Arabidopsis thaliana: one gene and its partners. The protein of the gene in region 1 interacts with the protein of each later gene in a biochemical or structural test. Each region holds a gene or a part of one and is shown in the gene's direction. Other genes may lie near its edges. The genes, in order: AT2G45340, FEI2, AT2G01820 and AT1G29730.

The links.
Region 2: the proteins of AT2G45340 (region 1) and FEI2 form a complex in vitro, tested with the Arabidopsis thaliana proteins (one large-scale study listed by BioGRID).
Region 3: the proteins of AT2G45340 (region 1) and AT2G01820 form a complex in vitro, tested with the Arabidopsis thaliana proteins (one large-scale study listed by BioGRID).
Region 4: the proteins of AT2G45340 (region 1) and AT1G29730 form a complex in vitro, tested with the Arabidopsis thaliana proteins (one large-scale study listed by BioGRID).

The regions. Positions count from the first base shown.
Region 1 is NC_003071.7:18,689,044-18,695,724, forward strand, and holds AT2G45340 (Leucine-rich repeat protein kinase family protein), read left to right. Parts: upstream 1-2,620; 5' UTR 2,621-2,695; coding exon 2,696-3,125; intron 3,126-3,486; coding exon 3,487-3,747; intron 3,748-3,954; coding exon 3,955-4,851; intron 4,852-4,935; coding exon 4,936-5,423; 3' UTR 5,424-5,682; downstream 5,683-6,681. Other genes in the region: CRR4 (Pentatricopeptide repeat (PPR) superfamily protein), read right to left, coding at 5,773-6,681.
Region 2 is NC_003071.7:14,960,062-14,968,212, reverse strand, and holds FEI2 (Leucine-rich repeat protein kinase family protein), read left to right. Parts: upstream 1-2,774; 5' UTR 2,775-2,967; exon of another isoform or gene 2,968-3,196; intron 3,197-3,440; 5' UTR 3,441-3,572; coding exon 3,573-3,669; intron 3,670-3,780; coding exon 3,781-3,916; intron 3,917-4,006; coding exon 4,007-4,078; intron 4,079-4,166; coding exon 4,167-4,238; intron 4,239-4,490; coding exon 4,491-4,562; intron 4,563-4,950; coding exon 4,951-5,022; intron 5,023-5,116; coding exon 5,117-5,188; intron 5,189-5,383; coding exon 5,384-5,472; intron 5,473-5,593; coding exon 5,594-5,749; intron 5,750-5,844; coding exon 5,845-6,177; intron 6,178-6,256; coding exon 6,257-6,502; intron 6,503-6,596; coding exon 6,597-6,730; intron 6,731-6,807; coding exon 6,808-7,026; 3' UTR 7,027-7,362; downstream 7,363-8,151. Other genes in the region: MOR1 (ARM repeat superfamily protein), read right to left, coding at 707-830, 922-1,027, 1,223-1,385; AT2G35615 (Eukaryotic aspartyl protease family protein), read right to left, coding at 7,479-8,151. UniProt on the Arabidopsis thaliana protein: Involved in the signaling pathway that regulates cell wall function, including cellulose biosynthesis, likely via an 1-aminocyclopropane-1-carboxylic acid (ACC)-mediated signal (a precursor of ethylene).
Region 3 is NC_003071.7:356,302-363,270, reverse strand, and holds AT2G01820 (Leucine-rich repeat protein kinase family protein), read left to right. Parts: upstream 1-2,346; 5' UTR 2,347-2,589; coding exon 2,590-4,876; intron 4,877-5,062; coding exon 5,063-5,607; 3' UTR 5,608-5,918; downstream 5,919-6,969. UniProt on the Arabidopsis thaliana protein: Involved in auxin signal transduction and cell expansion and proliferation regulation.
Region 4 is NC_003070.9:10,399,166-10,408,156, reverse strand, and holds AT1G29730 (Leucine-rich repeat transmembrane protein kinase), read left to right. Parts: upstream 1-2,243; 5' UTR 2,244-2,282; coding exon 2,283-2,412; intron 2,413-2,510; coding exon 2,511-2,688; intron 2,689-2,779; coding exon 2,780-2,851; intron 2,852-2,948; coding exon 2,949-3,020; intron 3,021-3,100; coding exon 3,101-3,172; intron 3,173-3,271; coding exon 3,272-3,343; intron 3,344-3,449; coding exon 3,450-3,521; intron 3,522-3,614; coding exon 3,615-3,686; intron 3,687-3,779; coding exon 3,780-3,851; intron 3,852-3,958; coding exon 3,959-4,027; intron 4,028-4,122; coding exon 4,123-4,194; intron 4,195-4,276; coding exon 4,277-4,339; intron 4,340-4,432; coding exon 4,433-4,501; intron 4,502-4,594; coding exon 4,595-4,645; intron 4,646-4,724; coding exon 4,725-4,766; intron 4,767-4,841; coding exon 4,842-4,885; intron 4,886-4,969; coding exon 4,970-5,358; intron 5,359-5,449; coding exon 5,450-5,645; intron 5,646-5,728; coding exon 5,729-5,749; coding exon of another isoform or gene 5,750-5,770; and 17 more. Other genes in the region: AT1G29740 (Leucine-rich repeat transmembrane protein kinase), read left to right, coding at 6-340, 553-778; AT1G29720 (Leucine-rich repeat transmembrane protein kinase), read left to right, coding at 8,386-8,491, 8,585-8,774, 8,867-8,938.

The DNA.
Region 1 (6,681 bases):
GTCTTCTGTTTTCTATCATGGACACTACTTCGTTTTGTCTTCCCGTGTTAGGTGAGACAGAAGAATTTATTTTTTTATATATTTGAATTCTCTGAATTTGAAATATGATCTTTTCAGCTGGTGGAATTTTTTGAAGTGGCGAGCTTATCATTTTCTGAATATGACAAAAAAAAGTCTTATTTACTGTAGTTATAAATAGTTTAACTAATTAACACAAATGCGAATCGAAAATTTGATATATGTGACGACGAAACAACTAAACTAGTACAGTATAATCATATAATTAAAGATTTGATGCATTTGAAAATGTACGCGTTTGATAGCATATCATAATTAATTTGCACGCCTATATGACATATAGCGTTTGGACCAATTTTAGATGTAATAAATCAAAGAACACATCGAACACACATAAGTTCGATTTTCAACGTCTAAATTTACGAGAAGCAAAACAAAATTATGTATAATAATAAAAAGACTAATATTACCACTCACAATTAGACACGATATATAGCAAAACAAGATACATAGTTTTGCTCAAAAACAAAACATGGATGATAATCAGTAAAATGCGGTGCCTACCAAGTACCAACATACAATTATAATGATTATTGATAAATTTTTGAAGTTTTTGTAACAATATACGAAACATCGTACTCATGCATTCAAACAAAAATGGGACAGGCTGGGTTAGATAACGTGTGAGGGATGGATTTCTCTAGAGACGAAGCCAAATATAAGGCGTGACTTTAAATGATATCACACTACTGTTTCATCTTATAACAAATCAAAAGAGATGAACTAGTGATGTAATTCTATAAAATTTACCACTTAGATGTACTGTGTATCGGCTAATTAATTGGTCATAAACTATTACTTTCAAATGAGTTCTACGTACTATTACTATAGTTTAAAAGTAAAGTAAAATCATATTCAATCAACTTAGGAACTCAAATTAATATTGTCTAATTAACACAATGTCATCATCATATAGAGATTTGACTGCACTAATTAAGTTATCATGGACACTTTCTTTCTGAAAATTCTCATTTTCTCACTCAAATAATAATTTCATTCTATAAATAGATAATGAAATACACACACATCTATCATCCACCAAAAATATCATCCACCACTACCCACGAAGTAAGAAAATTACAGAGAAAACGGAATATCTTTTAAGTAGACCTTAGCCTTTTGCTTTATTCTCTTGCTTTATGTCTTTCTTGTTTCTGTAAATTCACATGTTACACTTAGAGGAGAGCGAGGTGTTGGTCCATTTTACCTTTTGCTATGATCAGATATAGAAGATAGCAAAAACATTAACTCAAGACAAGTTCACATGTTTGTAAAATTTTACGTAAATTTGTTTATTAATTGTGTTAGAAAAATGTTCACATGTTGCTACTATTGACTTGCCTCCATCATCTTCTTTGTCCCATTTGATGTACTCTTAGCCCCATGCCTCTTGGATGCCTTTTTTACCTTTTAATTTGTTCTTATATAATATAAAATATTAGCTACCCTTTTTTTTGTTATTCATGGAACAATTATTTGCATCAAATATAGTAATTTAATGGAATAATATCAAGAAGATCCCATTTATCTTTGTACCTTATTCTCCATGTGAACATATAAAGCTTGTTATCAGGTTATTTGTACATGTAATATCTAAGGGTGTTTACTGATGATGATCGGATAAACTCGAGGTTTGATTTAGTCAAATATAGTTCTTTTCTAACTAAAATCCCAACCTCACAATTTTGATGTTTTTCAGTAAATATGGTCATTAATAAGTTATGAATTCGCTAATTAATAGAAATTTATAAGAAAACATATATCCAACATTTATGGATATATGAAAAGTTAAAAACAAATGATATAAAAAGTACAATTTTATAGCTGGTGCACTGAAAAAGAAACAACTTTTCTTACCATTAAATCCAGGGAGAATGGTATCATTTTCAATTTTGAAAAAAAGCTAAGATTCGCCTAACTATTATTGTTTTCCTCTGAAAAGACTTTAAAAGTAATCTTTACCGTATAAAGTACAGAAAATGAAATGAACTCGTGGACTTCAATGTTTTCAATTTTCATGAGTCTTTTGTTTTCCTTCAATTTCCAAATAAACTTATATATATATACTAATCAATCAAAAACAATCCACTCAAAATGTGAAACTATACATGTAGAATACTTGATGTAACATGAACAAACAATCAAAATATTGTAGTTAAAAAAATTTACTGTTGATTTTGATCAGTAATATGTGTAATTAAAAAGTGATAAAAAGTCAAGTGGTTTAAAATTATCATAAGAGTAACATATGGACTATGGTTCAAATACTTTCATTGCAATAACAATTATGTATAGTTAGCTACTATATGAATGTCTTAATACATTGCAATAACTTACATTGGAGATTAGTCTATATACATTTATATATTAAAAAATTAGAGTTGTGATCTATATAGTTCTCTATGTTATCATTTTACATTTTCATAGTTGAACTAACTTTTTATTATTATTATGTTCACGATATCTATACTTTTGTGGTTTAAGCTTTTCTTAGTATTAACAATCAAGAACTACTATTTTATAAATACAATGGACAAGATTTTTTCTTCAAAACCACAAGAGAGAGTCATTTTCATTTTCTTCCTCATCTCTCTCTCTCTCTTCTCTCCAACCAAACATGGTCTCTCCACTCACACTCTTTCTCATCCTCTTCTTCTTCTTCCTTTCTTCTGCACTGTCTTCCTCCTCCTCAGAGCTCGACATTCTCCTCGATATCAAATCCTCTCTCGACCCTGAAAAACGTTTCCTCACTTCATGGACTCCCGACGCCGACCCTTGCTCCTCTGGCTCCTTCGACGGTGTCGCGTGCGACGGAAACCGCCGTGTTGCTAACATCTCTCTTCAAGGAATGGGTCTCACTGGAACTATCCCTCCTTCAATCGGTCTTCTCACAAGCTTAACCGGTTTATACCTTCACTTCAACTCCTTGACCGGTCATATTCCTAAAGATATCTCAAATCTGCCTCTCCTCACCGATTTATACCTCAATGTCAACAATCTCTCCGGTGAAATCCCTCCTCTAATCGGGAACTTAGACAATCTTCAAGGTCGGTCTATTTATGCATGTGTTCTTTGTTAACCTCACTCACTATAATTCATTTATTGCAGCTAAAACACCTTAAGCGGGTCAAATTTGGTTTATTAAAACTTAGCTAAAAAGAGTTTAGGTCTTGAATGGTGTAGATTTTAGTTTTTTTTTTTAATCATCCATTCAAGTTTTTAGATTTTTGAGTCTCCTAGAAACTAGGGATACTCTCTATTGTCTCCTTCATCTTTCACTCTTTTTTATGCAAAACTCAAAAACAATTTTATTTGGGGTTTTGAAACTAAAATGTAAAACTCAACAAAAATAAGGGCAAATATAATTGCATCTATATATTCATAACACTTTTTTTTTTTTTTTTGCAGTTATACAGTTATGTTACAACAAGTTAAGTGGAAGTATACCGACACAGTTTGGTTCTCTTAAGAAGATAACTGTCTTGGCTTTACAGTATAACCAACTCTCCGGCGCCATTCCGGCGAGTTTAGGCGATATTGATACGTTAACGAGGCTTGATTTGAGCTTCAACAACCTCTTTGGTCCTGTTCCGGTGAAACTCGCCGGTGCTCCTTTGCTTGAAGTTCTCGACATTCGTAATAACTCCTTCTCCGGCTTCGTTCCCTCTGGTAATAATTTATTTTCCCTCAAGATTCATAAATTCTTCAGATTCTAAACCGGTTCAGTGTTGACCAATCCGATTAAACAGAACCGGGAACCAATCCAAAACCGGATCGTGGAGAACTTAAACCATATCAATTCTAAACCGGTTTTTACAACCACATTAAAGATGTTTTGCTGACTTGTTTGTTTCTTGATTTTTATGAATTATGAAGCTTTGAAGAGGCTAAACAATGGATTCCAGTATTCAAACAATCACGGTTTATGCGGAGATGGTTTCACTGATTTGAAAGCTTGCACCGGCTTAAACGGTCCGAACCCTAACCGACCAGACCCAACAAACCCAACGAATTTCACAACAGTTGACGTGAAACCAGAATCAGCAGATTTACAACGAAGCAATTGCAGTAACAACAATGGCGGGTGTTCATCAAAATCCTTAAAGTCTTCACCTTTAGGAATCGTCATGGGTCTAATAGGATCAATCCTCGCAGTTGCAATCTTTGGCGGTTCAACATTCACATGGTACAGACGAAGGAAACAGAAGATTGGAAGCAGTCTTGATGCAATGGACGGTAGGATTAGTACTGAGTACAACTTCAAAGAAGTTTCTAGAAGAAAAAGCTCTTCTCCATTGATCAGCTTAGAGTACGCAAGTGGTTGGGATCCGTTAGGACGAGGACAGAGCAGTAACAACAACAGTGCATTGTCTCAAGAAGTCTTTGAGAGCTTTATGTTCAATCTTGAGGAGATTGAGAGAGCTACTCAGAGCTTCTCTGAGATTAACTTGTTGGGGAAGAGTAATGTCTCTTCAGTTTATAAAGGTATCCTTAGAGATGGTTCTGTTGCAGCTATCAAATGTATAGCTAAATCGAGCTGTAAATCCGATGAATCCGAGTTTCTCAAAGGGTTGAAGATGCTGACACTGTTGAAGCATGAGAATTTAGCGAGGTTGAGAGGATTCTGCTGCTCGAAAGGACGTGGAGAATGTTTCCTTATCTATGAGTTTGTTCCCAATGGTAATCTTTTGCAGTATCTTGATGTGAAGGATGAGACTGGAGAGGTTCTTGAATGGGCAACTCGAGTTTCCATCATAAACGGAATCGCCAGAGGTTGGATTCTGCTATTCATTCTTTCGTAAACTAAACTCGGTTTTTTGTATGTGAAATCTGATTTCTTTTTTTTCTTCCTTTCAGGGATTGTGTACTTGCATGGAGAAAATGGGAACAAACCTGCAATAGTTCACCAGAATCTATCTGCAGAGAAGATTCTCATTGATCACTGGTATAATCCTTCTCTTGCAGATTCCGGTCTTCACAAGCTTTTCACAGATGATATCGTTTTCTCGAAGCTCAAAGCAAGTGCGGCAATGGGATACTTAGCTCCTGAGTACATAACTACAGGGAGGTTCACTGATAAGAGCGATGTTTATGCATTTGGTATGATTCTGTTGCAGATACTGAGTGGTAAAAGCAAAATCAGCCATTTGATGATCTTACAAGCTGTAGAGTCAGGAAGACTGAATGAAGACTTCATGGATCCAAATCTTCGAAAGAACTTCCCGGAAGTAGAAGCGGCTCAGCTCGCTAGACTTGGTCTTCTCTGCACTCATGAATCCTCAAACCAAAGACCATCCATGGAAGATGTTATCCAAGAACTGAATAATCTCGCCGCGGATTATTAGTTTCCCGTTTAACATGATTCTTGCTTTTGATAGTCCAAGAATATAAAGCATACCAAGGTTTCAGACTATCACCATTCCCCTGATGTTAACTCTGTTTTAGGTTCAGTATAGGGGATCCGAAAAACTCGGTTCATGATGTAACAATCTTATCTCCTTGTAACTGTAGCTGATGTACTTAGGCTGTAAAAACAATCACTTTTCAGACGTTTTAAGTGATCTTGTGGGAAGTTTTTTTCCAGACATATCTTAGCTGCACAAAACCAACCATGTGACATTGTCTTCATGTATGCCAAGGAATTGCAGAATAGGTTTAAGCCCTTGAAAATATATTGCTGCACATTCGTTTTATCTACAATGTACTGGAAACTTCAATGCTATCTACAAAGAACTCATGGACTCTTCCATCGAGCTCAATCCAACTACAACCAGGAATTTTCTCTATCTTTCTTTCCTTCATCATCGTTCTAACTCTACGAACATCCTTCCACATTCCAAAACTAGCATACATGTTAGAGAGTAGCACATATGAGCTCGGGTTATATCCAGCCTGCAAAATAAGGTGTTTTGCGACAAGCTCTCCCGTTTCAAACTCCTTGTGGTGACTACAAGCGGTGAGAAACGTTCTCCATATGACATCATTTGGCTCAACAGGCATTTCCTCTATTAAGTTTTTGGCTAGCTCTATACTTCCGGATCTCGATAGTATGTCTACCATACAACCATAGTGTTGCAATCTTGGTTCTATCTTGTGTTTTCTCCTCATGAGCTCAAAGCAGAGAAGGCCTTCCTTTACTAACCCAGAGTGGCTGCAAGCATTTAAAACGCCAACAAAGGTGATATCGTCTGGTTTTAAAGAGAGTCTCTCAATCTGCAAGAGCATATCGAATGCAGATTCCCCTAGACCATGAATAGCGAGCCCACCAATCATAGCATTCCAGTGATCAATGCTTTTGTTTTCGATTCCCTCGAAAACCAACATGGCGTGTTGTATGCTTCCGCATTTCGAATACATATCAATGAGAGCAACACCGAGTTTTCCACCTAGATAGAATTGTTTCTCCACGATGTACAAATGCATATCTATGGCTTTGGATAATCGGCCAAGCTGAGCAATTGCAGGCAGAACTATTACCAAAGTCGTATCATCGGGTAACAAGTGACTCTCCTTTTCCATGTCACTAAATATTTCAAGAGCTTCCATGTGATACTTGTTTTGAACATAACCAGCCATCATAGAATTATATGCCACAACATCTCT
Region 2 (8,151 bases), 3.7 Mb from region 1:
GTATAAAAACGATGTTATCCTATAAACTATACAACTCCCAGTCTCCCAATATATATCTTGTTGGCAGTTGAAAATTGAAATGACTGAAACAATGCATATCAAGTAGAGTTATTGCAACTTTATACTTGGGAAGTGAATTAAAACTTCTGAAGGAAATGATGTTTTGAACAAAACACTATGGTAGATATCTTGAAAACAACAATAAAGAAGGTATCTAGATTCCTTTCTCCTTCAGAAATAAGTATTATTCATAGCAGAAGTCCAACAGCTTGAGACACGGTGACAACAACTCAAAACTGGAAATGTTGGTTACTGAAGAGGGTGATTATAGGAACAGACCCCAGAAAGTTGATTCTGTTTCTTGACCTTGAACACAGGATGCTCAGGACATCTGTCAGTCATCGTTATTTAAATTGCTCTTTTCCTATGCCACACTAGATACCTAGCATAACACAGAACTGGACAAAGAGCCACAATGCTATATTCTACGTCACTCCTTCTAAGATCAGTATATGGTTGAATTCTGGGTTATAAAGCACTTTCATTTCTATGTCAGCTCACCTATCTAGTTTCAGATACCAGTATCAGCAATCTAGCAAGTAACTCTATGGCTAGATGGTGAACCTATACATCAGAGTGCAAGGGTTAACCGTATGTGTCTAGATAACCCTAGCAGTGTTGCAAAAACATAGAATGAATGACATACCAGAAAAACATCGACGGCCTCTAATTCTACCCAAAGCAAGAAAGCAGCCTGCGCCTTGTCCACAGTATTCTTCCGACCCGTAAGGCATTTGAGCGCAATAGCATCGCAAACTTCCTTTGCATACCTTCAAAAGCAGAAACAAACTAATTATTCACATGCAAACGAACACTCCACTCTGCCCATTTCTAAAGCAATAAAAATAAACAACACCATACCTTCCAGCATCTGAATCGGCTGCTCGCAAAAACGCAATCAATGCATCAAGCGCTTTCTCTTGCACCGGCGCATTAGAATCTGCCACCGTCTTCCTAAACAAGTGACCTGCGAATAAAAAATAATAATCAGAAATTCAATCAAAAGTAAAGCAAAATGGAACCCTAGACCAATCACATTCCCACTCAACAATCCAAATTCAAAACAGATCCACACCGATATAAACCACCCTAATCAGATCTGAGCTTCAAAAACAAAAACCCTAACATAATAATAATAAAAAAACGAGGTAGAGAAACTCACCAAAATCGCGAAGACGAGGGTCCTTAGGATCAGTAATCGAATCAAAAACAGAAGCTAAATCGACGTTAGCTTCGTTCCTAACTTTCCAATTCTTATGCCCAAGCCGATCCTCCCAAGGAAGTTTTTTCGCCTCCTTCAATAACTTCTCATCCTCCGTCGACATTACTCCACGAAATTATCTCTCCGACGGTATCGATCTTATCGATCTATACCAAGTTTTTTTTTTCTTCGTACGGTCTCTTGGAAACTTTCTCTCTCTTTTCAAAAAAATTTCTTCGTGTTGTTAGTGCCGGCAAGAGAGAGAGAGAGAAGGACAAAAAAGAAGAGTAGGGTGGAGCGTAATGAGAGAGAGAGAGTGGGGGAATTTTGGTTTCTACGTTTAAATCGGTGGTGTAATTTTTTTGTTAAAAACCCTTCACGCGCGTTTTGATTGGAAATGTTTACACGCGCGATTATTTCAAATCTTAAAACGAGCGTTTTTCTTTTGCTTTCTCCACGTGGAGAGATCGGCATTTTCAAACTATTTTAGGAAATGATTAACAGTACTGAATTTTCCTATTGTTGGTTCTGTAAATATTTTCAAAATATATTTACATTAACAATCTATTAATTTCTAAGAAAATAAAGTAATATTTTGAAATGAATAACTCATTTTTAGTTATAAAAATATTTATTTTAAAAAATCAACAAAATCATGAGTTATTATTACTTACTTATTGGATTATCTTTTCTTCTATAAAATACAAATAAATAGTCATTTTCTATAAAACTAGACACGTAAACCAAAATGGATTTATTAGTTTGATTATGGAAGTTCAAAAACATTGTGTATTTTATGATTTAAAAACTAGTTAAAATTTATTATTTTAATATCCTAAATATTTATGCTAGGATCTGATTTCGCTTTGGATTTTAATATATTTGAAATATCTAATTCAAATTCAGAATACAAATACTCAAATTTCAAACAAACTTTGATTGATAATTAGTACAAGAATATTTAAGCCACACCACACCTTACACCTTTTCCATCTCCATCCTCATGTCTTAGGTGATGTAACTCTCTATCTCCAGATATCTTTTCTTGTCTACTGCTAACACATGAAACAACAACTCAAATTTAAGCCATATTTTTACAATGGTACCAAATTTATAAGAATCATAGATGAAATTACCAAAACAAGAAGTTACGTGGAAAGATTGAATCCAATATTAATATTTTGATTTCTATTATAAAAGCAAATGAAATAATGATTATCAGTCCATTGTTTGTTCCATTTTTAAGTACACTTGTTTGTTTGATTTAGGTGAATAAGATCCGCTAAAGCTGAAAATACAAGAATTGTCCCTAAAGATAGTAAAGTACAGTACGCTTCCAAATAAATAACAATGGGCTTTAGTAGGCCCACGCAATAACGATGTTTTAACTGACCCAACAAGCCCTTGTCCAGTTCTGGCATTATACAATGCGTCGGTCGACACGTGTAATAAGTCATGATCGGCACGTGTGGTCTCCACTTCTCCTCTCTCATTGGTCGTAAACTCGTAACTAGCCGATTCCTTCTCCAAAGTATCTCACATTTCCACTGCACACTCTACTTTCTCTCTCTTCACTCTCTCATAAATCACAACAACAACAAAAAAAAAAAAGTTGTTAGTTAAGACATTGCTTTACAGCTCAATTGCGTCTTCTTCCTCTGTCTTATTCTTCATCTTCATCTTCCTCCTCGCGGATCCATTTTGAGGTTCGTGTAAATTCCCATTCTCTTTCGCCATTTTTTTGGGGGAAGTGAGATTTTGGTCTGAGTTATCGGCGAATCGATTTCGTTTTTTTAGATTATTGAATGGTTTTGTTGACTCTTCAGTTCTTCTTGTGCTGTGATTGCAATGATGTCCTCCGAATTTCGTGATTTAAGTTCGATTTTAGCTATCCGAGCTCCTCTTTAAATAATGAGTTGGGGTTTTATTCTGAAGGTTCGATTTCTGATTTTGCAAATTTGGGAGGTGGATTTGATCCGATTAGATAATCTCACTGTTCTGGGTGCTGTAATTGTTAATGAGACCATGCAAATGTTGTGCATCGATGTTGTGGAACGCTTGATTTGTAATTGAGGATTTGGTTGTCTGATTATTGGAAGATCGAGGCTTGATAGAGTTTCAAATGAGGGTCAGCTGTTATTGTTGTACGGTCTAATGACATTATTTTATTTAACTTCAGGAGTCTCTTTTTGTTTCTTGAAGATAGACTGGGCGTCACGGAGCAGCTGAGTATATGCTACGAGTGTTGCATTCCGGAGGCTGTTCTTTCAGATGATTGGCAGTAGCTATATTATGCTTGAACGGTGCCATAATGGGCATCTGTCTAATGAAGCGCTGCTGCTCATGGTTTCTTTTGATCTCGTTTCTCTCTGCACTAACGAATGAAAATGAAGCAATTAGTCCTGATGGTATACAGCGATATGTGTCTTTAATCTCTTCTATATTTTGTCTTTGACAAGTCATGATCACCATTTACTCCGCCCAGATTGCTGAAGGGATTAAATCCTTTTTTTCTCCAGGTGAGGCGCTTTTGAGTTTTAGAAATGGAGTTTTGGCTTCTGATGGTGTTATTGGTCTGTGGAGACCAGAGGATCCTGATCCATGTAACTGGAAAGGAGTGACCTGTGATGCAAAAACAAAAAGAGTTATAGCCTTGTAAGTTTAAAATTTCTTTAGTTTAAATTCTTTTTTTTTCTTCAGTATGTGGTGCATCTTTTGTCGGTTCCTGAAGTTTCTTGTGTGCAGGAGTCTTACTTATCACAAATTAAGGGGACCTTTACCCCCTGAGCTTGGAAAGCTGGATCAGTTAAGGCTTTTGTATGTGCTCCTAACCTTTTAATTAATATTATTGATGTCTAGCATATGCTCTACTACTCATTGTATGTGTATTCCCATGTCATTGCAGAATGCTTCACAACAATGCGTTATATCAATCAATACCTGCCTCATTGGGAAATTGCACGGCATTAGAGGGAATGTAAGGGCTTTCCCAAATACTTATGCTGATTAGTGTGATTACACTTCATTGCTGATCGAATTCTCGTTTTGTTTTTCCAAATTTTATATTATTTCCTAACAATTACTAGTGTTTTTCTTTATTTGCTTCTATATAGTTGGTGCATAATATTGATGCGTCTTGTGAGTGATGATAAACTCAGTCACAAGTTTAGCTAGTTGACAAGAATCGTTGTGAATCTTTTATAATTTATTGTCCTTTTATTCCTTGCAGATACTTGCAGAATAATTACATCACTGGGACAATCCCAAGTGAAATAGGAAACCTGTCCGGGCTGAAAAACCTGTACGTGGTTTTTTTCCTCGTTCTTCCAAGTGGATTTGTTTTCTTAGCCTCTCTAGGATCTGCTATTTGTTGTTCTGCTATCTACTCTCACCATTTAGTATCCTCTATAATTATATTGTGAACTACAAGAGGTTCTTCTGATCTTCCATGCAGCAACAACATAATGTTTTCGAAAGTACTTATTTCTACAGTCGTGGTGAACCCTAAAAATTATAGGGAGTTTGACATAACTTATATTTAATCACGTATTGTGTTATTTTTTCCGGGTGAAAAACTCTCAAATATGATGATGAGAATTGTAAATCTATGCTAGGCTTCTTTCATATTAAATGGGCATATCATCTACATTCTTCTGAACTACTATGATTTTTGACTCTCATTTATGAAGGGACCTCTCAAACAACAATCTCAATGGAGCTATCCCTGCTTCACTTGGGCAGTTGAAAAGGCTTACTAAATTGTGAGTTGCTAATCTCTAACTTGCGTATTTTATTTTGCAGTCCTGTAGATATATGAGTGTCAATGTTACTAACTATGTTGATCTTCTTTTGAAGCAATGTCTCAAACAATTTCCTGGTGGGAAAAATACCTTCTGACGGCCTACTCGCTAGACTCTCGAGGGACTCGTAAGTATAATTTATATATACCCATTTCCCCAACCAAATTTTTGTAAATTATGGTTGATAAATCTTTCTACGGTTGATCTGGCAAAGCAGTTATAATTTTTTTTGTGACGTTGTGTACGATAGCACCCTGTTACTAGCTTTGCAGCAGTGTAGCTGAAAATAACCAAGTCGTAAACTGTTGAATCACTCTTGCAGCTTCAACGGAAATCGTAACTTGTGTGGAAAACAAATCGATATTGTGTGCAATGACAGTGGAAATTCTACAGCTTCTGGGTCTCCAACAGGTAAAGCAACTGTGTTTTAATCAATTTCTTGTCAGGATATATGGATTATAACTTAATTTTTGAGAAATCTGTAGTATTTGGCGTGAAATGAGTTTGCTTTTTGGTTTCTCCCGTGTTATAGGCCAAGGAGGTAATAACCCTAAAAGGCTGCTTATAAGTGCTTCAGCTACTGTGGGTGGGCTGCTCCTAGTGGCGCTCATGTGTTTCTGGGGATGCTTTCTCTATAAAAAGCTTGGTAGAGTTGAGAGTAAAAGCCTTGTGATAGATGTCGGTGGAGGTGAGCCATGCTGACTCATATTGTAGATATTCTCTCTAAGAGTTATATTTTTCTCTCAAAACTTGACACCATAAGAGACGATTTTTTCTATCCAGGTGCGTCTATAGTGATGTTCCATGGAGATTTGCCCTACGCTTCCAAAGACATTATCAAGAAACTGGAATCTCTTAATGAAGAGCACATAATAGGCTGTGGAGGCTTTGGCACAGTGTACAAGCTGTCTATGGACGATGGCAATGTTTTTGCGCTGAAAAGAATTGTTAAGTTAAATGAAGGTTTTGATCGGTTTTTTGAAAGGGAGCTTGAGATTCTTGGGAGCATCAAACATCGTTACCTTGTGAATCTACGTGGATACTGCAATTCACCCACATCAAAGCTTCTGCTATATGATTACCTTCCTGGTGGTAGCCTTGATGAAGCTCTACATAGTAAACCCTCAACTTCATATTTACGGGTTTCCTTAACGGAGAATTATGATTCTATTAAGTGAAATTTTTGAATGTGTAGAGAGAGGCGAGCAGCTGGATTGGGATTCGCGAGTTAATATCATAATAGGAGCGGCAAAAGGGTTGGCATACTTGCATCATGATTGTTCTCCTAGGATTATACACCGTGATATAAAATCAAGCAACATCTTACTGGATGGAAATCTGGAGGCTCGGGTATCAGACTTTGGGCTTGCCAAGTTGTTAGAGGACGAAGAATCTCATATTACAACCATTGTTGCAGGCACATTCGGTTACTTGGCTCCAGGTACTCAATTACACAGTAATAACAATGCTTATTACTTGTTGTTACTATCTGTTAGGACCTAAATCCGTGAACTCATAATGAGTGTTTTTTGCAGAGTATATGCAAAGCGGTAGAGCGACTGAGAAAACCGATGTTTACAGCTTCGGGGTTTTGGTTCTTGAAGTCTTGAGTGGTAAACTTCCCACGGATGCCTCATTCATCGAGAAAGGCTTTAACATTGTTGGTTGGGTAAGCATAACGAGATCCAGCTTAGATAATAATATTGACTAGTAAAAGCTTAAATTTTGTTTTTTATAATCTTGCAGCTAAACTTCTTAATCAGCGAAAACCGGGCAAAGGAGATTGTTGATCTAAGCTGTGAAGGAGTGGAGAGAGAGAGTCTCGACGCACTTCTATCAATAGCAACAAAGTGTGTGTCGTCAAGTCCAGATGAGCGGCCAACAATGCACAGAGTCGTCCAGTTACTTGAATCCGAAGTTATGACTCCTTGCCCCAGCGACTTCTACGACTCCAGCTCCGATTGATCTCACGTTCACAAAGTCTGTCTGCCTTCTCTTTTCAGAGTTCCTTTTCAGTTTTACAGTACAAAGTTCTCGAGCCATTCATAGTCGGTACCTTTTTTTTTTTTTTTTTTTACTTTGAATTGGTAGATTGGTGACACGCCTCAATTGATCTGATCATGAGATTAAAATGTATATGACCATCCATTGTAGAAACACTGTTCCTAAGAATCTGAATAATTTCTCTATCATAATACTTTCTTGTTTGCTTTCTTAAGTTTTATTATACATGTTGTGTACTTCGGAACTAGTTGAAACCAATCATATAATATCGATGAGAAGATCAATATAGAAAGAAGGTAATTATTTTTACTAGCAAGGATAATTTTTAAGCTTTGATTCTGATTTTACATCTCCATAACAAACAAATGATTATCATGGACAATATAAAATAAGCTCGATACGACGCCGTCAAATCACAAATTCGCAGAGCAATCCATGTGTTGAAACGACACCGTCCTCGTCTCCAAGTCATACCCAACTAGGAAATCCATCTGAGCAAAGTTCCCATAGATGGCAACCTCGGTGGTCGGAACCATACTCAAGCAAACCATGTCTTCACTCAGTTTCACGAATGCGTTGATCGGACTCAGCCTCACATCTGCACCCGTGAAATGCACCGTTATCTCCGGCAAACCGATCTCTGCACTTCCGGATTTGAAACAGTGAGACAAAAGCCCTTGTGGATCACTCACGCGCTTGGCTCCGGTCACTGATTCCTCCACCGCCGAGCTAAATTTGTCAAAGAAACCAGCTTCGAGGAGGGTCAGTGTCGTTCCAGAGTCGATGATGATGTTTCCAGATGTCTCCGAGAGTATTCCGTCGTCGTTTGGGTTATACGAGCTTCCGGTGTAAGGAATCTTTTTCTTCCCGACGGAGATGGCTTCAAGCGTCAAGTAGTAGTAAGTAAGAGGCTCTTTATCGACCAACGGAGTTGATACCACGCCGGAGTCTTTGCTTAGACTTGAAGGAATCGAGTTAGTGCCTAGGTTTATGACGCTTGTGCCATTCGTGGTAGCTGACTTGTGAGACAAGCAATAAGAAAATTTCTTCGAAATCGACGAACCGAGCTGGGAGATTAGTGATAAA
Region 3 (6,969 bases), about 18 Mb from region 1:
GATTGATATGCATTTTGGTTTCTGTACATACAGTAGGTTCACAATCTAGAGATTTTGAAGGTTTTTTTTTCTTTCACCGAAGTAATGTAGCTTGCCATGACTAGTGTATGTTGTTAAACGACAACGTCTAAGACGACGGTTCAGTGTTGATCTTAGCGTAAGTATTAATCCCACGGGATCGTTTGTACTGTATCAGATTTGGTTAGTCGTTTAAACATTGTAATGTTCTAATAATAACTTTTCCATATATAACATCTTCTTATAACTTGAGACGAGACCATTTTGATTCATCTTTTGAGCTTGTTTAGCAACCAAATCGGTTAGCTAGTTGAACGAAGATCAGAGAAAGAGCTCAAACAACTCTTCATTAGCTATAGCTCAGTCGACGACTTGAGCTTTCAAACAACAGAAACAGAGCAAAGCTTAAAAACGACTGCGTTTTACTATTGGTTCGTCGATCTCACTAAACCGAGTGAGATAACCAAAGCCAATCAACAACCCTTTAATCGGATCTCTCGATGTAATCTATAAAGGATGAGAAGAATTAGGAACTTGTCCAAGAAGAGTATATAGAAAATATCTGACTTTTTGTTTGTTTTTTATATACTCTATCGACTTATTTTATCAGTTTCAGTAGGAACGCAACGAAATACTACAGAATGAATTTCTCCCGATTTAGGTAGAATTGGATCACCACACTGTTAGGTTCTAATTTGAAATGCCTTCCGACTAATACCAAGGATAATCATACCGTCTGCATTTCTAACTACCAAATAAATTAATTGGACCAAATCACAACTGAGAGACTTTCTAAACAAATTTGTTATTGTTTTCATGAAAAATCAAACTCAGGTATAGGAGTTAAAGTTTCCTTGTGCCACTACACCAAAGAGGTTTGGACAAATATCTGATTTTTAGAATTATTGAGAATTTAAGAAATGATTGAAAAAAGAAGTAAGTGAAATAAATGTGGTTGATGTGTGACCGTAACGAACAGCAAAGTGGACTAGTTGTTGTTGTCACGTAATCTTTCTACGTACACAAGTGTTCGATCTACATTTCGTGCGAGTTTATAGTATATGGTTGGTGCGTATAATACACCAATCTTTAGCTACTTTTACTATTTTTCTATAAGATTAACAACAACAATATACATGTCCCAATTTCTACATATCGTACTATAACTATTTTTAAAATAGTATAGTTATAATATTTATTACTAGTGAATAAAAACAGACATTCAATACCATAAGAAGAAGAATAGTTCTAGGTTAGAGTGAAACTGGTAAGTAATAATAATAACTCTCCAACCTAACAAACATTAAAAATTGTGGTAAACGGCGTAAGATAACGACCGTTAAAAAATCAGCCGAATGAAGATTAATGCGTGGCTAATATGCTCCGGATTTCACGGCGTCTGTCTTTTACAGTTAAAAACTTTTTTGTCGGGACTGCAAAAAAATCACATTTATCTTGTTTGGTCAAAATTAGTCATGAGAAGATTAAGACCATGCAATGCAAAGTACTCATTAATCTTTTAATTTTTTTTATTCAAAGTATATAATTACTCACGAAGTCGTGACACAATGAGTCAAAAAATGAATTAAATAAAACGGTGTAATCTTAAACTGTCTTTAGCACGTTACGATGAAATTTCAATTTTCGACTAATCTTTGACCCTAAACAATAGGTAACCACCGTCACCGTATTAAATGCTTTTTCTATTCTAAGAAATACAGATAAGTTTCCACGTATTGTATTCGTCCCACAAATATTCATAAGGAGGAAATAATATCCTTTTTTTATAGAAGCAAATGGAAATAATGTGAACAAAAATCCAAGATCTATTACAAAATAAAATATTTTAAAAATTTAGGAAAGACAATCGATATTATTAGCAGTTTAGTCCGAAAAATGCCGAAATACACTCAATCATAGAGATATTACTTTTATTATTACCAATTTTGACACAAATCAATTGTTAAAACTTCCTAAAAAGTAAAATTCTCTAATTGAATATATAAATAAAATATTTCAAACGTGATTTTTATTTACAAACTTTACAAATGTTAATAATATATTCACCTAAACTGAAAACATCTAAATGTCATAAAATTTGTATCTTATTCCTAATTCTGATTTTTTTTTAATATAAAGTTATAAACACAATTAGTAGATAATCTCATTATTCATAATTATGGATTATTCGGCGATTTTCACTATTGTTTTTCACCACTAATTATGCCACCTTGCCAGCTGTATTCACACACACACACACACTCTACACAAGCAAAACTTAAAGTATGCATTTTTATTAATTATGGTTCATCCATTTTATTACAGAAGAATAAATATTTCATTTGAATGAGAATAATAAATAAAAAGGCAATGCTTTTATGATCCTCTTACCTTTAATCTTCTTCGTCTCTCTATCTTCCTCGATCTCCGCCGATTCCTTCGTCTTTCCCTTTCCTCTCTGTAAACCTTTTCTTCTTCTTCTTCTTCAATGCCTCCCTAAAACCCTAGACTCAGAATTCTCAAAGGCGACACCTTTAACCTCCTCCACTCTGTTTCTTTCTCCAACAAAAAATGTCAAATTCCCATTTGGGTACTCTCTGTTTCATCATCTCTTTACTGGGTTTGGCCAATTTCTCACTTTCTCAAACCGGTCTCGATGATTCGACTATGCAATCTCTCAAATCAAGTCTGAATCTTACATCAGACGTCGATTGGTCTAACCCTAACCCTTGTAAATGGCAATCTGTTCAATGCGATGGAAGTAATCGTGTTACTAAGATTCAGCTTAAACAAAAAGGGATTCGTGGAACTCTTCCTACTAATCTTCAGAGTCTCTCTGAATTGGTTATTCTCGAGCTTTTTCTCAATCGTATCTCTGGTCCTATTCCTGATCTCTCTGGCTTATCTCGTTTACAGACTCTGAATCTACACGACAATCTTTTTACCTCTGTACCGAAGAATCTCTTCTCTGGTATGAGTTCTCTTCAAGAAATGTATCTCGAGAACAATCCGTTTGATCCTTGGGTAATTCCAGACACCGTTAAAGAAGCTACGTCTCTGCAGAATCTAACTCTCTCCAATTGCAGCATTATTGGAAAGATCCCAGATTTCTTCGGTTCTCAGTCACTTCCGAGCTTGACGAATCTGAAACTATCTCAGAATGGTTTAGAAGGAGAGTTACCGATGAGTTTTGCTGGTACTTCGATTCAGTCTCTGTTCTTGAATGGTCAGAAGCTTAATGGATCGATCTCGGTATTGGGGAACATGACTTCGCTCGTTGAGGTTTCTCTTCAAGGAAATCAGTTCTCAGGTCCAATTCCTGATCTCTCTGGTTTGGTATCTCTACGTGTGTTTAATGTTAGAGAGAATCAGCTCACTGGTGTTGTTCCACAGTCTTTGGTTAGTTTGAGTTCGCTTACTACTGTGAATTTAACTAATAATTATCTTCAAGGACCGACTCCGTTGTTTGGCAAATCCGTTGGTGTTGATATAGTCAACAACATGAATAGCTTTTGTACTAATGTAGCTGGTGAGGCTTGTGATCCTCGTGTGGATACTTTGGTATCTGTAGCTGAATCATTTGGATATCCAGTGAAGCTTGCGGAAAGTTGGAAAGGAAACAATCCTTGTGTTAACTGGGTTGGGATTACTTGTTCTGGAGGTAACATTACGGTTGTTAATATGAGGAAACAGGATCTCTCGGGTACGATTTCTCCGAGTTTAGCTAAGCTTACTTCATTGGAGACTATCAATCTTGCTGATAATAAACTCTCCGGGCATATACCTGATGAGCTTACCACATTGTCTAAGCTTAGGTTACTTGATGTGTCTAACAACGATTTTTATGGAATACCGCCAAAGTTTCGGGATACTGTGACTTTGGTGACTGAAGGGAACGCTAACATGGGGAAGAATGGACCTAACAAAACGAGTGATGCTCCTGGAGCTTCACCAGGAAGTAAACCTTCAGGAGGAAGTGATGGCAGTGAAACTTCTAAGAAATCAAGCAATGTCAAGATTATTGTTCCTGTGGTTGGTGGGGTTGTTGGTGCATTGTGTTTGGTTGGGCTTGGTGTGTGTCTTTATGCGAAGAAAAGGAAGCGACCTGCTAGAGTTCAAAGTCCAAGCAGCAACATGGTTATTCATCCGCATCATTCGGGTGACAACGATGACATTAAACTCACTGTTGCAGCTTCTAGTCTTAACAGTGGTGGAGGAAGTGATAGCTACAGTCACAGCGGAAGTGCAGCGAGTGATATTCACGTTGTTGAAGCTGGGAACTTGGTTATATCGATACAGGTCTTGAGGAATGTGACGAATAACTTCAGCGAAGAGAATATTCTCGGGAGAGGTGGTTTCGGGACAGTTTACAAAGGCGAACTCCACGATGGAACAAAAATAGCTGTGAAGAGAATGGAGTCTTCGGTTGTGAGTGATAAGGGACTTACTGAGTTTAAATCTGAGATCACTGTTCTGACTAAAATGCGTCATCGTCATCTCGTTGCGCTTCTCGGTTACTGCCTTGACGGGAACGAGAGGCTTCTTGTCTACGAGTACATGCCACAGGGGACACTAAGTCAGCATTTGTTCCACTGGAAAGAGGAAGGGCGAAAACCGTTAGACTGGACTAGACGGCTGGCGATTGCATTGGATGTAGCTCGAGGTGTCGAGTATCTGCACACACTTGCGCATCAGAGCTTTATCCATAGGGATCTAAAGCCATCAAACATCCTTCTTGGTGATGATATGCGCGCTAAAGTCTCTGACTTTGGGTTAGTACGTTTAGCCCCTGATGGCAAATACTCCATTGAGACTCGAGTAGCTGGGACTTTCGGATACCTTGCCCCAGAATACGCAGGTTTGTACTTACCCAAATTTTAAAGTCTCTGCCTTTCAATTGATTTGCACTTGCCCAGTGTCAAAGTTTCATACTTTGGCCGTTTTGCACTTAAATTTTCATGCTTTGATCTTATTGCATTTTCCTAAATGTTATAGTTTCATCCTTTGATCGTTTGGCAATTGTTCTATACTCTGATTTTGGCAGTGACGGGAAGAGTGACGACCAAGGTAGACATTTTCAGCCTTGGGGTCATACTTATGGAGCTAATCACTGGTCGTAAAGCCCTAGACGAGACGCAACCCGAAGACAGCGTCCATCTAGTCACATGGTTCCGTCGGGTAGCAGCCAGCAAAGACGAAAATGCCTTCAAAAACGCAATAGACCCAAACATCAGCCTCGACGACGATACCGTAGCCAGTATTGAAAAAGTCTGGGAGCTTGCTGGTCATTGCTGTGCCCGTGAGCCTTACCAAAGACCTGACATGGCTCACATCGTTAACGTCCTTTCTTCACTCACCGTCCAATGGAAACCAACTGAGACCGACCCTGATGACGTCTATGGGATAGACTACGATATGCCGCTTCCGCAGGTGCTTAAGAAATGGCAAGCTTTCGAGGGACTAAGCCAGACCGCGGATGACTCGGGATCTTCGTCTTCGGCTTATGGAAGCAAAGACAATACGCAGACAAGTATCCCAACTCGCCCATCTGGATTTGCTGACTCGTTCACTTCTGTGGATGGACGTTGAAAAAATCAAGATTGCGTAAAACGTTTTAGTAGAAGAAGAAGATGAAGCATTGTGTGATAAATCTCTCTCTCGCTCTCCCTTTTTTTGCTTTTCTCTGAAGCATATTTACTTATGACTTCGTTTTTATCTACTGCAAGCTTTTGGTTAGTGTATTTATCTATCTACTTTGTGTAGTTTTTATGCAAAGATAACAATCTTTGAGTTCTTAAAATTTTAATATTTCGTCAGTAAAATCCAACTCATAAACCGTAAAAGCTGAACCAAACAGTATTTTGAACTCACTGCGGTTTAAGTTATTAACATGTGTTTAGGGGTTTAAGCAAGTAGATTACTATAAGTACACTTTCTATGAGAAATCATTTTGTATTCCAAGCCCACAAGTCCAATAAAGCCATGTGTTTATGGGTTTGGACTTTGGACCATACACCCACTGGAATATCAAAGCAGTCTCCGTATTCATTCAATTTGCTATGAGCCAGTTGGTCCTTCCCTTCTAATGAAATACATGATTTTGGTGTCCCTCATTTTATAAAGCACACTGTCCAATCCAATCTTCATAATATTAAGCATCTACTATTTAGGTTCACTGATCATATGATATAAAATCTAAACATCAAAGGTGACACCAATAATTGGAACTAAGTTAGGCAAACTTAACCGTTTACATGTAAGGAACCAATTATCACTTATAAACCATTCACAGCTTTTGATGTAGTTAAAAAAGATTAGATATGAGCTCCAATATAATGCAGATTCAACAACAAAAACAATACTAGAGTTATATACTCATATGTCACTAATTATTTTAGATATATATTGATAAGTTTGTATAATTATTAACTTATAATATTGATGTGATCATACATTTAATACATAATTTTAAAAATATATATTATTTTATTATCTTATGGATTTGTATTCAATATTACACTAGATTAATTCAAGAACAAAAAATAAAGTTAGGGTTAAGACATCATTGAGTCACCATGCCAAGTGGTATGTTCATTTTTGTTGTATTTCTTCTAATCTTTCATCCAGTGCTACTATCAGCATAGATCAACAACGTTGAGACGAAAAATCTGTATTAAAACGTGCAAGATAAATTGAACAAACACATATTATTTCCACGTTTTAATAATCATCGCAAGTTTTTGCAAATGGTATGTATTCAACTAAATCATATTTCTAAAACGTAAAAACGTGAAAACCCGCATACGTATTATCTCGAATAGGGAAAACTTTCTGTCATATGTTGTATCGAAGATGGAATGCCATAGAAACATCTACCTAAACTTATAATTTCAATTTTATATAATCTATAAATGCTACTATGCTCATTATCAAAATACTTTACTATTACTT
Region 4 (8,991 bases), on another chromosome or scaffold:
TCCAGGCATTTGTACTACAAAAGAAAGGAGCATTTGATGAGATTCTGGATCCGAAGCTTGAAGGAGTGTTTGATGTGATGGAGGCAGAGAGAATGATAAAGGTTTCACTTTTATGCTCCAGCAAGTCTCCAACATTACGACCAACTATGTCAGAAGTTGTGAAGATGCTTGAAGGAGAGACTGAGATAGAAGAGATCATATCAGACCCTGGAGCGTACGGTGATGAATTGAGGTTTAAGAAAACGGCGGAGATAGGGTCATCGTCTTTACCTTCCGATTATCTTGTGTCGATTACTTCGTCCTGTGAATCTGCTTACGATTTGTACCCACTTAGTCCCGAGTCCGTTGTTTTCTCTAGACCCTAGATCCCATTGTTAACGACCTTTACATAACAATCTCTGTTACATTTTTTTCACAAATTTCATTGTCAAAGACTGAAACTTTTGGTTTATAAGAAGAAGAAAATAACGCTTTGTAGTCATTGACCAAAAATCGTTAAATTGGGGTATGAAATTAGGGTTCTTTCGTTCGCGCCGTGGGTGTACTCGTAAGCCAGCTATGTCGACGTTATCACCCTCTCCGCCGGAAAGAACATCACGATGATACTTCCCGGTGGCTCCGTCCTGAGCTCGACAATGGCGCCTACATTGCAGCACTTCTTCTTCCCCAACGTGATGACTTTGAGGTCTGTGATTCTGTTATTTTTTGGCTTTCAAGTATCATCAGTGGACAAAGAGAAATTCGTCAAATTGCAGATATTAAGAATTCTGATGATTGAAATGCAGTAGGCCATAGCTTTTTGTCTGGTAGAGATTGTAACTTGGTAAGCTTGAAGCTGCATTTTGCGTTGACATCTATGAAGAAAGAACACACACAGATAACGAGATTAAAACTGCATAATTAGACTAGAGCTGTAGAGTGTCATCACTTCGTGAATTATGGTGGTCACATCTCTGTTATTGATCGGGTCATTTGCTAGCTTATACCGTGCATCAAAGCTTTTTCTTTTGCTTAGAATCTATCATGAACTGTTGAGGACACTCTTTGCAGTGATTAGTTTTAAATCAGGTAACAAAGTCTTGCCTTTTTTCTAGCTACAATGACTTCTTCATGAAATGTTAGTCAAATCAAGTTAAATGTTCTGGTTAACACAATTTGCAACTGAGGTATCAAATGCCATGTTATACAACTACTAATGTGACATCTTTGGTGTCTTTAATTTTTTACATCATACTTCCTCTTTTAGTCTTGTATCTGTTTCTCTGTGCACTGGAAGACTTTTTATTGGCTGAGCATATGTCTCTAGATTGTGGTTTTGACGATGATTCGGGAAGAAACCATTCCCAAAACGTGTGTAATGAAGTTATAAGCATGAAGTCTCTAGAGACAATATGATAGGGACAGCTTGATTTCTTGCCCTGTAAACGTTTTACACCATTGGTAAGATGATTTTCGGTGTGCATGATATTTTGGATAACAAGTATGTCATTGTAGATTTCATGGTAGTCTGATCTAAAAATGATGTCTTATTTGATAAGGAGCTAGGGATAGGGAATTCTTGCGTATGAGAGAGTCTGAGATATATTTGGTTATTTGGATCTCTCTCTCTGGCAGTTGCAGAGCTTCTGACTTTATTGGCCTTTAACAGAGGACATTCAATAAGATTAATATGAGTAAACCAAATTTTATACCCACTAGCTTTATAGATCCAAGGGAAAGTAGAAGTCAACTCTCAAGAAGACTGAATAAAATATGCAACTAGTCGAAGTCTTGTTTCATGTACTCAACCAAAGTTATGCATAGAAATTGTCAATCCCTCCAATTTTTTTATCTATTAACAAAACAAGCCATGATCTTCAAATTATGTGACTCAAGATCTAAAATTAGAATTGTTTAGGCTATATTCTGTTGAAAGTGTTAGCAATAATGCTTTTGGAACCATAAACTCCTACTGCTTTTTAGCCTTTTAGGTGTTCTTCTAGTAGTTCTGCAAGTAAAATGGAGGCGAAAGGCTGAAGAGAATTTTCTAATATTTCTGCTCATATTGTAAATAAATCCAGATGAGAGGCTGGATTGTAATTATCCCCTGAATTTGGCAAGCTGCCTAATACAAGCAATGACTAACCCCATGTGCTTACTCTTAACCTCAACTTAGGCAAACTGCATTTCACTTTTTCACAATTTTCTATATATATATATATATGTGCATTCGTATTGTTTCAGTTATATATTATTTATGTATTGTTTTAAGTCATAGATAGATCACTTGAACACAATCTTCCATGTCTGCAGCTTACAATCTCATGATTAAGTCGAAAAGTTGCCTTTTTAGCTCTTCTATTCTCTTTGTTGTTACACTTATCTACTTATTATGTACTGTATCTGCTTCTCCTTCTCTGCACCCAGATGAAGGTTTAGTAGTTTCAATGCATTATATCATATATACATGTGCCTCTCTTTGTGAATTTGAACTAAACTTGATTTTGTTTCTGGTTTGCTGTCTTCGCCAGTGGAAGCGCTGAAGGATATCACTGAAACATTGGGTGTGAAGCACTTGAACCTAAGTGAAGATCCATGTCTCACAAAGACTCTAGTGATATCTCAAGGTGTTCTCAAGGAAGGACAGAACAGCACAATCAGATGTGACTGTCATTTCAATAACTACAGCACTTGTCATATCAAACACTTGTAAGAAAAACCATTCTGAAAAAGAAGAAACTAACCGTTTTTCTGCTTATTTCTCTTGTTTCTGACCAATTACTATGTACCTCATATCTAGTGTCCTCCAGAAATTCAATCTTCCAGGTAGACTTCCTCCAATGCTGTACAAGTTTCGGCATCTTGAATCGATGTGAGGAGGGTTTTCAGTGTTTCAACTACTTTCAATATCTACTGCTATCGTAGAAGAAACATAACAATGGCTGGAATTCTTTTGCTTGTTTTTGTAGTGACTTATACAATAATTACCTTTATGGCTCAATTCCTATGGAATGGGCCTCACTGCCTTACCTCAAATCTATGTAAGTCTTTGTTCTCAAGTTTGTTTATTGCTAGGAAAGTAAGAAAAGGTTCTGAAGTTACCTGATATATTTCTCCGCAGCTCTGTCTGTGCAAACCGCTTATCAGGAGACATTCCCAAAGGATTGGGGAAGTTTATTAACCTCACCCTTTTGTATGTTCTTAACATTATTTTGTTGATCTTATGAGATTACATATAAAGCTTTTTGTCCTTTTTGAAAACTAAATCTTTCGTCTTTTTGTTTGATTGCAGAGTTCTTGAAGCCAATCAGTTTTCGGGAACTATTCCTAAGGAACTAGGGAACCTAGTGAATCTACAAGGACTGTACGTAAGACCCTTTTAAAAATCACTTTTGAAGAGATCGAAACAAATTTATGACCCAGTGATTTTCTCAAACATGATCCATTTAATTTTGTTTTGCTGATTCCAGAGGACTCTCTTCCAACCAACTTGTCGGAGGCCTCCCCAAGACATTAGCAAAACTAACAAAGCTAACTAATCTGTAAGATCATCTTTCTCATCTGGATTACTAACAAAATATCAGCTTTAGAATGTGTTCATCATGCTGAATTGTTTTTCATTATATTGTTTACAGCCATTTAAGTGATAATCGCCTGAACGGATCGATTCCAGAGTTTATTGGGAAGTTACCAAAACTTCAAAGATTGTGAGTAAAGTATCTTTATTTTTCATTACACTTAAATAGTTAGTATTTGTACATTTCAATGTTTTCTGACTTGTGCTGATAACGTTGTATCAGAGAACTCTATGCGAGTGGCCTTAGAGGACCTATTCCAGACTCCATTTTTCATCTGGAGAATTTGATCGACGTGTAAGTTTTTTATCCTCTTTAGATATTTGTTGAAGCAATAATTTTGTAAGTTGCAGAAGCCTATGTTCTTTTTTGAAACGAAATTGTGGCCTTTTCTTTCTATGCAGGAGAATCAGTGACACGGTTGCAGGATTGGGACATGTTCCTCAGATAACTAGCACGAGCCTGAAATATTTGTATGTAATAGTACATTTTTATGTCTCAGGTCCAGATACGATCATATGGTCAATTACTTGTGTTTAGACTTTAGACTGATGTTGATCATTTTCAGGGTTTTGAGAAACATAAACTTATCTGGACCAATTCCAACCAGTATCTGGGATCTGCCCAGTTTAATGACTCTGTAAGTCTCATGTTTTATCACCACGCATCTTGCTAAACACTGTCCAGTCTCTTATAAGTTATAACGCCTTTTTTTTTGACAGGGATCTTTCCTTTAATAGGCTGACTGGAGAAATACCAGCATATGCAACTGCCCCAAAATACACGTAAGTCTTAAAGTGTCAGATGATCAAAAGGATTAGGTATGCTATTAAAATTTACTATAGCTGTTGAACTCATCTCCTGGTTTCATTTTTCAGATATTTAGCTGGAAACATGTTGTCTGGAAAGGTTGAAACAGGAGCTTTCCTTACTGCAAGCACAAATATGTATGACCATTCTTATTTTATAGCAGTCATATATGTCAAGTCATTTCTCGGTATTACACTAATCTCTCCTTTTACCAATATTCATATGTGCAGTGATCTTTCCTATAATAATTTCACGTGGTCTCCAATGTGCAAAGAGAGGAAGTATGTTTTTTCTGTTGTTAACTACCGCCTTTCATCTGCTTAAATTTTCTGGATACTTTTAACATAAGTTTCCATGCAGGAATATAAACACATATGAGAGCTCACACTCAAAAAACCGTCTGTAAGAGCATTTTGTCAATCTTATTAATCACTTGCTACTTCGTGTACTGTTATTAACTCATTGTTCTGTATACAGAACCAGACTTCTTCCATGTTCCGCCATAAAGCAATGCCAAAATTGTAGGTTCTTTTGCTTTTTATTGATTTCCAAATACCCTTTTTCGAGTTTCTGCATATGAACTGGAAATTGTTTACTTTCCACAGATAGTAGATCGCTGCATATAAACTGTGGGGGACCTGATGTAACCATCGAAAACTCTCGAGGAAGGTTTCTGTATGAAGGTGATAACTATGGACTTACCGGATCAGCTACGAACTATTATAGGAAAAATTGGGGATACAGCAATACTGGTGACTTTATGGATGATGCAATAACAGAAGATACATACACAGTTTCATCAGAATCTGCAGTTTCAGCAAAATATCCAGACCTTTACCAGAATGCTCGGCGCTCTCCCCTCAGTTTGGCTTACTATGCATTTTGCTTCGAAAATGGAAGCTACAATGTGAAACTCCATTTTGCAGAGATTCAGTTCTCAGATGTGGAACCATACACTAAACTAGCGAAACGGGTTTTTAACATTTACATTCAGGTACATATAGCCTTTTGCCGCAGATTCTTTAAGAACCCCTTTTCAGGGGTTTTAGCCGATTCTTGAAGTTTGAAATTTAATATATGTTCAGGGGAAGTTGATTTGGGAGGATTTCAGCATTAGAGAGGAGGCTAATGGAACTCACAAAGAAGTTATAAGAGAAGTAAACACGACCGTGACTGATAACACTTTAGAGATACGGCTTTACTGGGCAGGGAAAGGCACAATGATCATTCCTCAAAGAGGGTACTATGGCTCTCTTATCTCTGCAGTCTCAGTTTGTCCCAGTAAGTAAAATTCTGTGGAGGTAAACATGAAGTTTCCCTCAGAAATTTTTATCCTAATTGTTTACTTGTTTTTGTTTTACCAGGTTCAGAATCTGAATGCGGTGGTATGAAGAAGAAAATCTCAAGTCTTTGAGTCCTTTTGTTCCTGCTAAATCTTGAATATGGATTAATCTTTTTCTCTTTGTTTTCTTTTGTCCGCCTTCAGTTCCAGTGCAATTTCTTCCGGTAAAAAAAGATCATAAACCAACAAAATATCCTCTAATTCTTGGCTTAACACTCTCTCTTGCTTTCTTGCTCCTGGCCGCATTCTGTTGGAGAAAGTGTGTTAGCAATGCAAATGCAGCAGAACGAGGTATTGAATTCGCTACTTAAAAACCATGTAAAGTTCTGTTTTTTTTTTTGAAAATAAAGAGCTTAAGGGACCTGATCTAAGAACAGGTTCCTTCAGTTTGAGGCAACTAAAAGTCGCGACCAACGATTTTGATCCCTTAAACAAGATTGGAGAAGGCGGCTTTGGATCTGTTTATAAGGTACAAAGGAGTCTTCAAGCTCTAGAAATCAATGTTAGTGTTCTTAAAAACAGGTGACGGTAAAGCCAAAAATTTGACAATACAGGGGCGATTACCAGATGGAACATTGATTGCGGTAAAGAAGCTATCTTCCAAATCACATCAAGGTAACAAAGAGTTTGTAAACGAGATCGGTATGATCGCTTGCCTGCAGCACCCGAACCTTGTGAAGCTTTATGGATGCTGTGTTGAGAAAAACCAGCTGCTTCTTGTCTATGAGTACTTGGAGAACAATTGTCTTTCTGATGCATTATTTGGTAAATTTATCTGATAGATGATTGGACCAAATCCTTTGACTGCATTCTCTTCTGTCTTGAGATTGAATATTTGCTTGTAAACTGTGGGAGCAGGAAGAAGCTGTCTCAAACTAGAATGGGGAACAAGACACAAAATATGCTTGGGAATCGCGAGAGGGCTTGCTTTCCTCCATGAAGATTCAGCAGTTAAGATCATTCACCGAGACATTAAAGGGACAAATGTTCTACTTGACAAGGATCTGAACTCAAAGATATCAGATTTCGGGTTGGCCAGGCTCCATGAAGACAATCAGAGTCACATTACCACCAGAGTTGCAGGAACAATGTTAGTAGTATATTCAGTCGTACAGATGAGTTCAGCATAAGATGATGTTTCAATAGCAGTTATTGTTATTTTTGTTGCAGAGGATATATGGCTCCTGAATATGCAATGAGGGGTCACCTAACAGAAAAGGCAGATGTTTACAGCTTCGGTGTGGTGGCAATGGAGATTGTTAGCGGAAAGAGCAACGCGAAATACACGCCAGATGACGAATGTTGTGTTGGCCTTCTCGATTGGGTACTGATTCAGTCTTTTTCTCCACAAGAATTCTGCTTTCTCTCAAATAAAAAGGTTCTTAGTTTTCAATTTCAGGCATTTGTGTTGCAAAAGAAAGGGGATATCGCGGAAATTCTGGATCCGAGGCTGGAAGGAATGTTCGATGTGATGGAGGCAGAGAGAATGATAAAGGTTTCACTTTTATGCGCCAACAAGTCTTCGACATTACGGCCAAACATGTCGCAAGTTGTGAAGATGCTTGAAGGGGAGACTGAGATAGAACAGATCATATCAGACCCTGGAGTGTATAGTGATAACTTGCACTTCAAGCCATCGTCTTTGTCGTCTGATTATATCTTGTCGATTCCTTCATCATCTGAATCTGCTTATGATCTGTACCCACTCAGCCCCGAGTCCATTGTCTTTACTATACAGTAGCCTGAACCCTCTGATTATCTCTACGCTAGGGTTGTTGTTGTAGGCTACTTCGGGCTCGAGAAAAGATTGTAATTAGGGCTAATATCGCTAGTTGTACTTGGAAAAGAATTTATTTTGTTTTAGAAGAAAAAATCATACTTAAATTGAAATTCGTTATAAAATTAAAACTATAGAGAAAATTCCAAAATGAAATCCAAAAGGTCCTTGTCCTAGCGTTTAGCCGTTTACTTTGACTCTTCATCCAAGAAAGTAAAGACATGGCTTTATATGCTTTCATTTTTAGTACAAATACGAGTGGTCAGTGGTGTGTGTAATCTATAACGAGTGGTCAATGGTGTGTGTAATCTATAACGAGTGGGCAGTGGTGTGTGTAATCGATGTATATTGTCTGTGTGATTGGCCGTACGGATTGGCCGTAGTTTAGTCACCAAGTGTTGGCTTTCTATTAGTATTAATTTGCTGATAACATGGTAAATATTTTGATTTTTAAAACATGCACAAGAGCATTTTAAAGAAGTCATACATCATAAGGTTCTATACGCGCTTTGATATATATAAATAAGAACAAAGCATAGCATTTTGAGGAAATTATCCCAAGGTTTTATAGTATGATGAATAACATTCAATTGGAGAAGTTAGATGCAAGAATTGTTCAACTTCCTCCACAGAGTGTTAATTAGTTGAGGTTCTAAAATTAATCAACCAATACATAAGGAGACATGAAACATCAAGCATTCATTAACCTCTCTATTCACCACTATTAACGTCGACATTAATGTTTATTTTGGTGAATTGGTCAATATATACCTATACTCTCTACTCACCGACAACCTAAGAAAACCCTATAAATTTGCTTGTTGGTGATGACTTTGTGATCTGCCAAACAAATTAAATACACATATATACAAAGAATCACTAAATATACCTTATATATACATATGTCAATCATCCTCTGGAGTTTTTTCCTGTTCTTTACCATTATCTTAAGTTCCCTCACAAATATAACAACATTGGCTTCTTTTTCATCTCTTCACGCAGATGAATGTATCATTTCTAAAAATTTTATAAATCATAATCAGAATCCGTATATATTTTATATACTTATTTTCAATATGTTTTTTTGCTATATTAATGCAGTGAATGCACTAAAGGAGATAGCTACTACACTTGGTATAAAGAGATTGAACCTAAGGGATGAAGATCCTTGCAGTTCAAAAACTCTAAAGATCATACAAGAAGTTGATTTTGTTCCGAATCTAGATATCAACAACACCATTGGTTGTGATTGTAGCTTCAACAACAACACGATATGTCGTATTACAGAACTGTGAGTGTTAGTTTTTTTGTCTTCTCTTCGTTTAATCCTTTTACTTTCTCTTCTTTTCTAATAATGTTTTGCATTATTATATATAAATACAGAGCTCTCAAGACCATGAGTCTTCGAGGGAAACTTCCACCTGAATTGACCAAGCTTCCATATCTCAAATCGATGTAAGTTCTGAATTATATAATTAGTTGGATGTGTGTTTTTTTCAATTTGCAAG